2 linked regions of the Callithrix jacchus genome follow. The protein of the gene in region 2 purifies or fractionates together with the protein of the main gene of each other region. This does not show direct contact. Links are inferred from orthologs where the notes say so. Each region holds a gene or a part of one and is shown on either strand. Other genes may lie near its edges.

What was found. Proteins that work in one complex are often made in the same cells at the same time.
Region 1: the proteins of GEMIN4 (region 2) and SNRNP70 purify together in Homo sapiens (affinity purification with mass spectrometry; 5 studies listed by BioGRID and IntAct, counting the BioPlex papers as one, with this or other methods). This does not show direct contact. The link is inferred for Callithrix jacchus from reciprocal best matches to the Homo sapiens genes GEMIN4 and SNRNP70.

What each region holds. Positions count from the first base shown.
Region 1 is NC_133523.1:42,899,841-42,903,931, forward strand, and holds the start of SNRNP70 (U1 small nuclear ribonucleoprotein 70 kDa), read left to right. Parts: upstream 1-1,291; 5' UTR 1,292-1,485; intron 1,486-2,267; 5' UTR 2,268-2,277; coding exon 2,278-2,424; intron 2,425-4,091. UniProt on the Homo sapiens protein: Component of the spliceosomal U1 snRNP, which is essential for recognition of the pre-mRNA 5' splice-site and the subsequent assembly of the spliceosome. SNRNP70 binds to the loop I region of U1-snRNA.
Region 2 is NC_133506.1:63,630,167-63,634,327, reverse strand, and holds the start of GEMIN4 (gem-associated protein 4), read right to left. Parts: upstream 2,801-4,161; coding exon 2,338-2,800; exon of another isoform or gene 875-2,337; coding exon of another isoform or gene 742-874; exon of another isoform or gene 1-741. Other genes in the region: uncharacterized protein LOC118153659, read left to right, coding at 2,799-3,006, 3,266-3,384; diazepam-binding inhibitor-like 5, read left to right, coding at 3,461-3,724. UniProt on the Homo sapiens protein: The SMN complex catalyzes the assembly of small nuclear ribonucleoproteins (snRNPs), the building blocks of the spliceosome, and thereby plays an important role in the splicing of cellular pre-mRNAs.

The DNA.
Region 1 (4,091 bases), on a different chromosome or scaffold from region 2:
CAGCTCACTGCAATCTCTGCCTCCTAGGTTAAAGCGATTCTCCTGCCTCAGCCTCCTGAGTTGCTGGCCTTTTTCTTGAAAATTAGTCATTTGAATTTTGCAATAATTTCTATAGTTATTAAACAGGCTATTGAATCCATCCACAAAACTTAAAATGCAATACTTAACAACAGGGCCTTAAATAAAATAAATGCCAGCTCTCTGATCTCACGGCCAACAACCTGAGATTCCTGCCATCTGGTCCCAGTTCAGGACCTTTGCGCCTGCTGTTAACCCTCCCCGTCCCCCGATCTTGCTTCTATCTGGCCTTTGTTCAAATGACACTTCAGAGGAGCCTTCCGTTATCACCCTTTATAAAATGGCCTCACTCTCACTTCCCATCCCTTTACTCTGCTCTGTCCTTCTTTATTATGCTGGTCACCATCTCAAATTATTATTATTATTTTAAGATAGAGTGTCGCTCTTGTCACCCAGGCTGGAGTGCAATGGCGGTGATCTCTGCTCAGGGCAACCTCTGGCTCCTGGGTTCAAGCGATTCTTCTGCCTCAGCCTCCAGAGTAGCTGAGGTTACAGGCTCACACCACCATGCCCGGCCAATTTTTGTATTTTTTTGTAGAGACGGGGTTTCACCATGTTGGCCATGCTGGTCTCGAACAATTGATCTCGGGTGATCCGCCTGCCTCGGCCTCCCAAGTGATGGGATTACAGGAGTGAGCCACCGGGCCCAGCCCTTAAACTATCTTTATTCAGTCAAGCGCTTTTATTGTCTCCCTCAGTACAATGTAAGCCCAAGCAGGAGAAGACTTTGCTTTAGTCACGTGCTGTAGCCCCCAAAGCCCAGACAGTGCCTAGCACATACGAGATGCTCGATGAGCAGTTGATTGAATAGATTAGACATCAACGCAATCAGGCTATTCACTTAGGGACTCTTTGCTAGGCGGCGGAGAGGTACGTTACAGTACTCTACACAACACGCATGCGCGAAAAAAATCAGGGAAGTGTGATCGGGAAAGGGGCGGAGCGTCAGAGAGAGTCTCGTGGACATAGGCGGTTCGGAGCGGAAAGCGGCAGGTGGAGGGGCGGCTTGGGGCTGAGCGCGCGCGCGCAGCGCAGACGCCAGCTCCAGGAGACTGAGGTACTCAAGGTGCCCGAAGGCGGGGTAGTGACCTCGCGCGTGCGCTTTGCCAGCGACGGCTCCTGGGCCTGGTGTGTGGGTAGGTCTTGGCCTCTCGCGGCGCATGCGCAGTGCTGACGGCGGAGGGATTTCAGGTCGAGACCCACCCCCTGCTCCAGTCGGTAGCTGAGGCCGCGCGGGTTGTTGAGCAGCGGCCTTGTGCGCTCGCTGCGCGGGCAAGGGAGTCAGGCAGACGCGGACGCCGTCGGAGTGGAAGCCAAAGCGGAAGTTCTTGTTGCTGAGGGGCCGCCGCAGCCGCCCCGAGCCTCCGGACCGACGCCAGACCCAGGAGGGCGCCGCGCGGCGAGTGAGTGTGGCCGAGTGGTCCGGGGTGCTGGGCCGCTACCCACAAGCCCCTGCGGTGGGCCCCGGTACTTTTACCTGCAGCCAGGCCCCTTTGCCGCGTCCCCTGCTGCAGGTCCCTTCTGCATCCCTTTCCCGAAACCCGAGCCCTCTGCGCACCCACGCCTGCTTCCCGTAGCGTCCTAGGTCCCCTACCCACAGGCCCTTGCGGTGTATGGCCTTTTTTCTTTTTCGTCTTTCCATGTTGTCCTGGACCTTTACCCATAATTCCTTTCGTCTTGGGGGCGCCCAGGTCTGTTACCCACAGGCGCTTGGCTTTGGGGCTTCGCTGCTTATGTTTCTCTTTGCCCGGAGACTTCAGACCTCCAGGCCTCTGCAAACCGCATCTCATAATTTGTCCTCCAAGATACGAGACGAGCAGCCAGCCACAACTGCTCTGTGCCTCCTTTCTCGGGTCCTTGATTCCCCCAGAAATCCCCAGGGAAGCTCTCCGCCACACAGCTCGTGGGTCAGGACTCTGAGACCTCACTGCTCAGGAACCCTTTTCCAGCCTTTGTTTTTTGTTTCCTTTACGGGCCTGATTTTCACCTCCACCCCCACCAAGAGATGCCCTTTTCTCTTCTAGCGTAGGACGGTTCTCTGCCCTTTCAGAGCCTCTTCGAATTCCGAGACTTTACTCCTGTTTTCTCTCTTTTTCTTTTTTTTTTTTTTTTTGAGAGTCAGGGGACAAATAGGGGCTTTCTCTGTGCAGACCCAATCTAACCTAAGGCTGTCCTGCTTCTGCTCTCAGACTTGGCAAGATGACCCAGTTCCTGCCGCCCAACCTTCTGGCCCTTTTTGCCCCCCGTGACCCTATCCCATACCTGCCACCCCTGGAGAAACTGCCACATGAAAAACACCACAATCAACCTTACTGTGGCATTGCGCCGTACATTCGAGAGTTTGAGGTGAGTTCACTGAGCAGGCCAGGAATGGTTTGGGTTGTGGGGTGCAAGGATTGGATCTGGGAGTCCAGCCTCTGACTGGATTTGCTAGCTGTGTGATTTAAGCGACTGGCTTCATCTTTGTGATCCTCAGTTTCCCTGTTTTAAATGGGGTTGGAGCCAGGTGTGGTCGAGTGCACCTGTAGTTCCAGCTACTCAGGAGGCTGAGGTGGGAGGATTGCTTGAGCCCAGGAGTTGGAGGCTGGATTGCTTTGTGATTGCGCCACTATACTCCGGCCTCGGTGACAGAACAGGACCTCATCTCTTAAAAAAAATTTTTTTTTTTTTTTTTTTAAAGTGGACTTGTGGCCAGGTGCGGTAGCTTATGCTTGTAATTTCCAGTACTTTGGGAGGCTGAGGCGGGTGGATCACCTGAGGTCAGGAGTTCAAGACCAACCTGGCCAACATGATGAAATCCTGTCTCTACTAAAAATAGGAAAATTAGCTGGGCATGGTGGTGGGTACCTGTAATCCCAGCTACTCGGGAGACTGAGGCAGGAGAATCACTTGAACCCGAAGGGCAGAGGTTGCAGTGAGCCCAGATGGAACCGTTGCACTCCAACCTGGGCAATAGAAAGTACTGTCTCCGAACAAACAGACAAAGTGAGGCTGGGCTCAGTGGCTCACACCTGTAATCCCAGCACTTTGGAAGGCTGAGGCAGGTGGATCACCTGAGGTCAGAAGTTCAAGACTAGCCTGGTCAATATGGTGAAATCCCATCTCAACTAAAAATACAAAACTTAACCGGGCGTGATGGTGCTTGCTAGTCCCAACTACTTGGGAGGCCGAGGCAGAAGAATCACTTGAACCCGGGAGGCAGTCATTGCAGTGAGTCGAGATTGTCCCACTGTACTCCAGCCTGGGCAACAGAGTGAGGCTCCCATTTCAAAAAAAAAGTGGGGTTGATGGTATACCTTTTGTAGAATTTCTGTGAGAAAGTTCAGTTGAGTAGTGGTTGAGGATTCACACTTGGCTTGCACCATTTAATAGCTCTGTGAGTTTGGGCAAATGTGTATCTTAATGCATTGGTTTCTTTATCTTTAGCAAGGGGATAGTGGTAGCACCCCTCATACTGTTGGTGGAGAATTAAATGGCAATGTGTATGTCAGGGGGCTTGGCATCAAGCAGGCAGCCTATGTCGGCCTTTGCTACTCTGTTTACTACTTTTATTGTTAATAAGATGGTGTTCATAAAGGGCTAGCACCGAGCGTTGGAGGGCTTAAAACCCCAGACCAGGATCTTAGTTCTGCACCTTCAGGGTAAATGACTTCAGGAATGAATGACTTAGGCTCCTGGACCTCTCTGTTTTTATTTGTGAAATTGGGATGACAATGGTCATCTTGTAGGCGTATCTGAGGACACCTGAGGAAAGCTGGCACACAGCCAGAAGTTACAAGAACATTCTCGCATTGGGTAGGAATGGGCAGCTGGAGGTGGAGGGAGTTGCAGAGCAGAACTTCTTAGATAGGACGGGCGTGGTGGCTCACACTTGTAATCTCAGCACTTTGGGAGGCTGAGGCAGGCAGATCACGAAGTCAGGAGTTGGAGACCAGCCTGGCCAATGTAGTGAAACTCTGTTTCTACTAAAAATACCAAAACTACCTGGGCGTGGTGGCACGTGTCCGCAGTCC
Region 2 (4,161 bases):
ATTTTGGCTATCAAGGCACAGATGTTCTCCAGCAGTGGAAATGCCCCATGCAAGTTGAAGAGAAAAGCCAGCTGGGAAATGTGATTCTGGATTTTGGCTATCGAGGAGATGTCCTTCAGCAGTTGCAATGCCGGGTGGAAGTTCAGGGGGTAAGTCAGCTGGGAAATGTGACTCTGAGAGGCATGTGCCCAGAAGGGGATCACCGGAACCAAGAGAGAATGAGATCCCTCAGGAAAAGTAAAAAGAACAAGCTGGGCTGCTGAGGGCAAACCCTTCAGCAAAGGATGGGCCAGAGGAGGATGTGGGGAGAGAGGTTCAGAAATAGCACGAGGACAGTACAAACGACAGAGCTATTGAGCATGTACCACAGGACATGACAGCTGAGTTTCTCATGACAGATGAAGGGGGAAGAGTGATAATCACACAGCCACAGGGTAATGAGGACAGCCACAATCATGCAGCCACAGAGTAACAGCACAGCAGCAATCACACAGCCACAGGGTAATGGGCACAGCTGCAATCACACATTCACAGGGTAATGGGCACAGCCACAGAGTGACGGCACAACAGCAATCACAGCCACAGGGTAATGGGCATAGCAGCCATCACACAGACACAGGGTAACGGCACAGCAGCCATCACACAGCCATAGCGTAATGAGCACTGAAGCAATCACATGGCCACAGGTAATGGGCACAGAAGCAATCAGACAAGCCCTGCCTTCGCCCTTCATAACCTTGCCTTGGGAGCAGGCTTCAAACATTGTTCTACCTTTCAGGGAAACAGTCCACCCCACAGCTCCTTCCAAAGACAAGCTACTCATGGCCCAGGCTCTGTGGGAGAAACCAGGGAGTAGATACAGAAAATACTTCATTAAATTAAGTCCTTCCTGCAGAGAAGGAATAACTGACAGACTTACATCTTGGGATGTTTAATCAAACATAGGTTTGATTCCTAGATCAGCCATTTAAAAGTAATGTGATTCTGGCCAGGGGTGCAGTGGCTAGCACTTCTAATCCCAGCTACTTGGGGGGCTGAGGCAGGTGGATCCCTGAGGTCAGGAGTTCAAAACTAGCTAAGGTAACATAGTGAGACCCCCCCAGACCCCTAAAAAAAGGGGGGTGGGTAAGGGATGTGATCATGGTCAGATTGCTTCTCCAAGCCTTCCTTCTGCAGCTTTGGGGATAATACAGACTTCTTGTTACGACTCTGAGGATTATATGATGCATACCAGTCAAGCCCCTGGTAGTGGGTTAGTACTGCTATCTCCTGACCCCATCTCCTGGAGACGCTGTGATGGATAAATGTGATACAGCTACACTAAGAATCAGGTTACAGAGCCTGATCAGGGCTCAGTCAATGTTGGTTTCCCCAAACCTTCTCATCATTGGCAGGATCAAAACCCTGTCACTGTTCTTTGCCTGCCCCAGCTCAGAAACATCAAAGGACATAGGTTTTTATCAGGTATGTTTCCTTTGGCCCAGGAAGTAAAACGAGGGTACAAGCATTGCTCACTTTTCCTCACTTCTGAGTCCTCTCCTTTTCCCAGGATCGGGACAATGCTCACCATTCCTCACTCCCTAGTCTTCTCCCTTTCCCAGGATAGACACTGCTCACTATTCCCCACTCCTGAGTCCTCTCCCTTTTCTAGGACCAAGAGATGCTTCTTCCTCAGTCTCTCATGCCCCTGAGAGCTCAGTCTCCATTTTACAGGCCAGACATCAGCAGAGATAACACGGATTCCAGGAGACTAAGGACTGTCTTGCCCTTGCCACCATGTGTGGGAGCAGCCACAGGCCCAGCGCTCAGCACTCCCATGTAACCCATTTGCGGAGAAAATCCACCTCAGCTCACAGTGGCTGAGGCCGAGGCTGCAGAGGGATCTCGCTAGGGTTACCGTCAGGAGGCTCGCCCAAACCCCAAAATGCGGCCCCCCCTAGCGCTGCAAATTTAATTTTACTGCGTTATCAGCTTCTTTGGGCCAATGTCTGGCCATCCACGCGCGCCTTCCAAACGCAGGCAGTCCGCCGCATTTGCAGCAGTAGCGCCAGGGCAGTGACGGCTGGAAAACCCGCCGGCGCTCGGTCAGGAACGGCGCCCAGCGCGCGCCAGAGCCAAGAGCTAGGGCTACCGGGTGGTTCCGCGCTCACCGCGCCAGCCCCGCGCCGGGTCACATGCGAGACCTCACGCATCACGACCACCTTGACAACGCCGTTCCCGCTCAAGGCCCGAACACGAAGCTGCAGAAACGCTTTTCTCAGGGTGCCCGGACGCCATTCCGCTCCCGAGAGCTGGTGCCGAAGCGCCGCGGCCCCAGCTCTCCGGACGCCCGCCCACCTGCTCCGTGTTCCGGGCCTGGCCCCGACCACTCCGGTTCCGAGGCGCGCAGCCGCCCCGGCAACTCTGCGCGGGACCTGGACGCCCGCGGCCTCCGTGGAGAGTCGCGCAGCCCTCGGGGGCAGACGCACCGTCCCCCTCCCGCTCCGCCGAGACGAAGCCGGACGACAGGAGACACGCGCCTTTCAGGAGCGCGGCAGTCCGGGCGCTGAAGGAGCCGCGCTTCCATAGCACGTGCGCCGGCCCAGAGGGTTCCACCCTCACTCCGCGGCGCGACTCCCGAGGCCGGGCCCGGGTCCCCAGCCAAAGCCACCCGGAACCCCAGACCCGCCCCGACGCGGAGGACGTTCCGCCTGGGCCCATCAGTGCGCGCAGCGGGAGGAGACGCGCCAGGGAGCACCGCCCTGCTGACGCGTGGAGGGACGCAGCCCGGGCAGGGAGCGCGGCACCCACCTAGGTCCATGGTAGCGACGCGGGCGGTTGCGCGGGGTTGGCTCTCCCTCTCAGAGAACGCGGGCGCGGCGACGAACGCACGGCACAATGGGCGGCGCAGGCGCCACGGCGGCCGTGCTCAGTCCCCGCCCATAGCCCCCCGCGCAAGCGCAGTCCTCACGGAGGAGCGCGCAGAGCCACAGCACCGCCTCCTCGCAGAGGCCTCCCGTCCGTCAGGTATCGGGCGTTGCTCCCGGGCCTGCCTCCGGGTCCCAGTGCGTCCGGCTTGAGCCCCGGCTCCGCATTCACCCTCATCCGGTGACCCCGGGCGCGTCCCGCACACTGTCCGCCCCCACCCAGCGCGGCCTCCCCACGCGCGGCTTCCTCCCGCCCAGCTCGTCCTACGCTCGCACTCTGTGCGCGCCGCTGCCGCGCCGCCCCCTTGGGACGGCCGCGTTTGGGACCGGAGGCGCTTCTCACGTCTGCTCCTCCACAGAAACATCGTGGACAGACCCAGACACTGGCTCCCGGGCCTGCAGTCGCGGAGAAGAAAATACAGACTCTGCGTGTTCTTCCACGCGCCGCCCGTCCCCTGCCCCCGAGTTGGAGGTCTGACGCCGGCCTTTTTACCTCCCCACCTCCGGCCTCCAGCACCCGGATCGCCCGGAAAGGCCCGGCCGCCTCCCGCCCCATGTGCCAAGTGGAGTTCGAGCTGGCGCGCACCGCCCTCAAGCAGCTGAAGGGCCCCCTGAGCGACCAGGACAAGCTGCTGCTCTACGGCTGGTACAAGCAGGCCACCCGGGGCGACTGCCACCTCCCCGCGCCTCCCGCCTCTGACCTGAAAGCCAAGGCCAAGTGGGAGGCGTGGACTGCGAACCAAGGGCTGTCCAGGATGGACGCCATGAGGGCCTACGTGGCCAAAGTGGAGGAGCTGACCAGGAAGGAGGCTGGCTGAGGGCTCCTCGGAATGGAGTGGCTCCCTAGACCTTGATGGCTGAAATGGAGAGTAACCGGGTTAGCTGAAACACCAATAAATCACTGACACTGCACGAGAGTGACTGACTGCTGTGGAAAAAGAAACTCGTTGACTGGGTGCTGGGGAGGCGTCCAAATACACAGACCGCAAAAACGGTGTGGCTTTGGGTGGCGTTCCCAGCCTTCCTATTGCTAGAGCGTACTGGGAGGGATGGTGTGCCGTGGAAATGCCCACGATCTGAGGTCAGCGAGACCCTTCTCCACTGATGGCCTCTGGGGAGGCTGAGGCCCAGCCCCTTACCTCTTCAAGAGTGATTAATGAACACCCAACACTACAGAGGGGAAAGGGACTCTGTCCTAAACACCGAAACCCCCACTGGAACACAGGGCCTAGGAAGTTTATGTTCTAGGTAGACC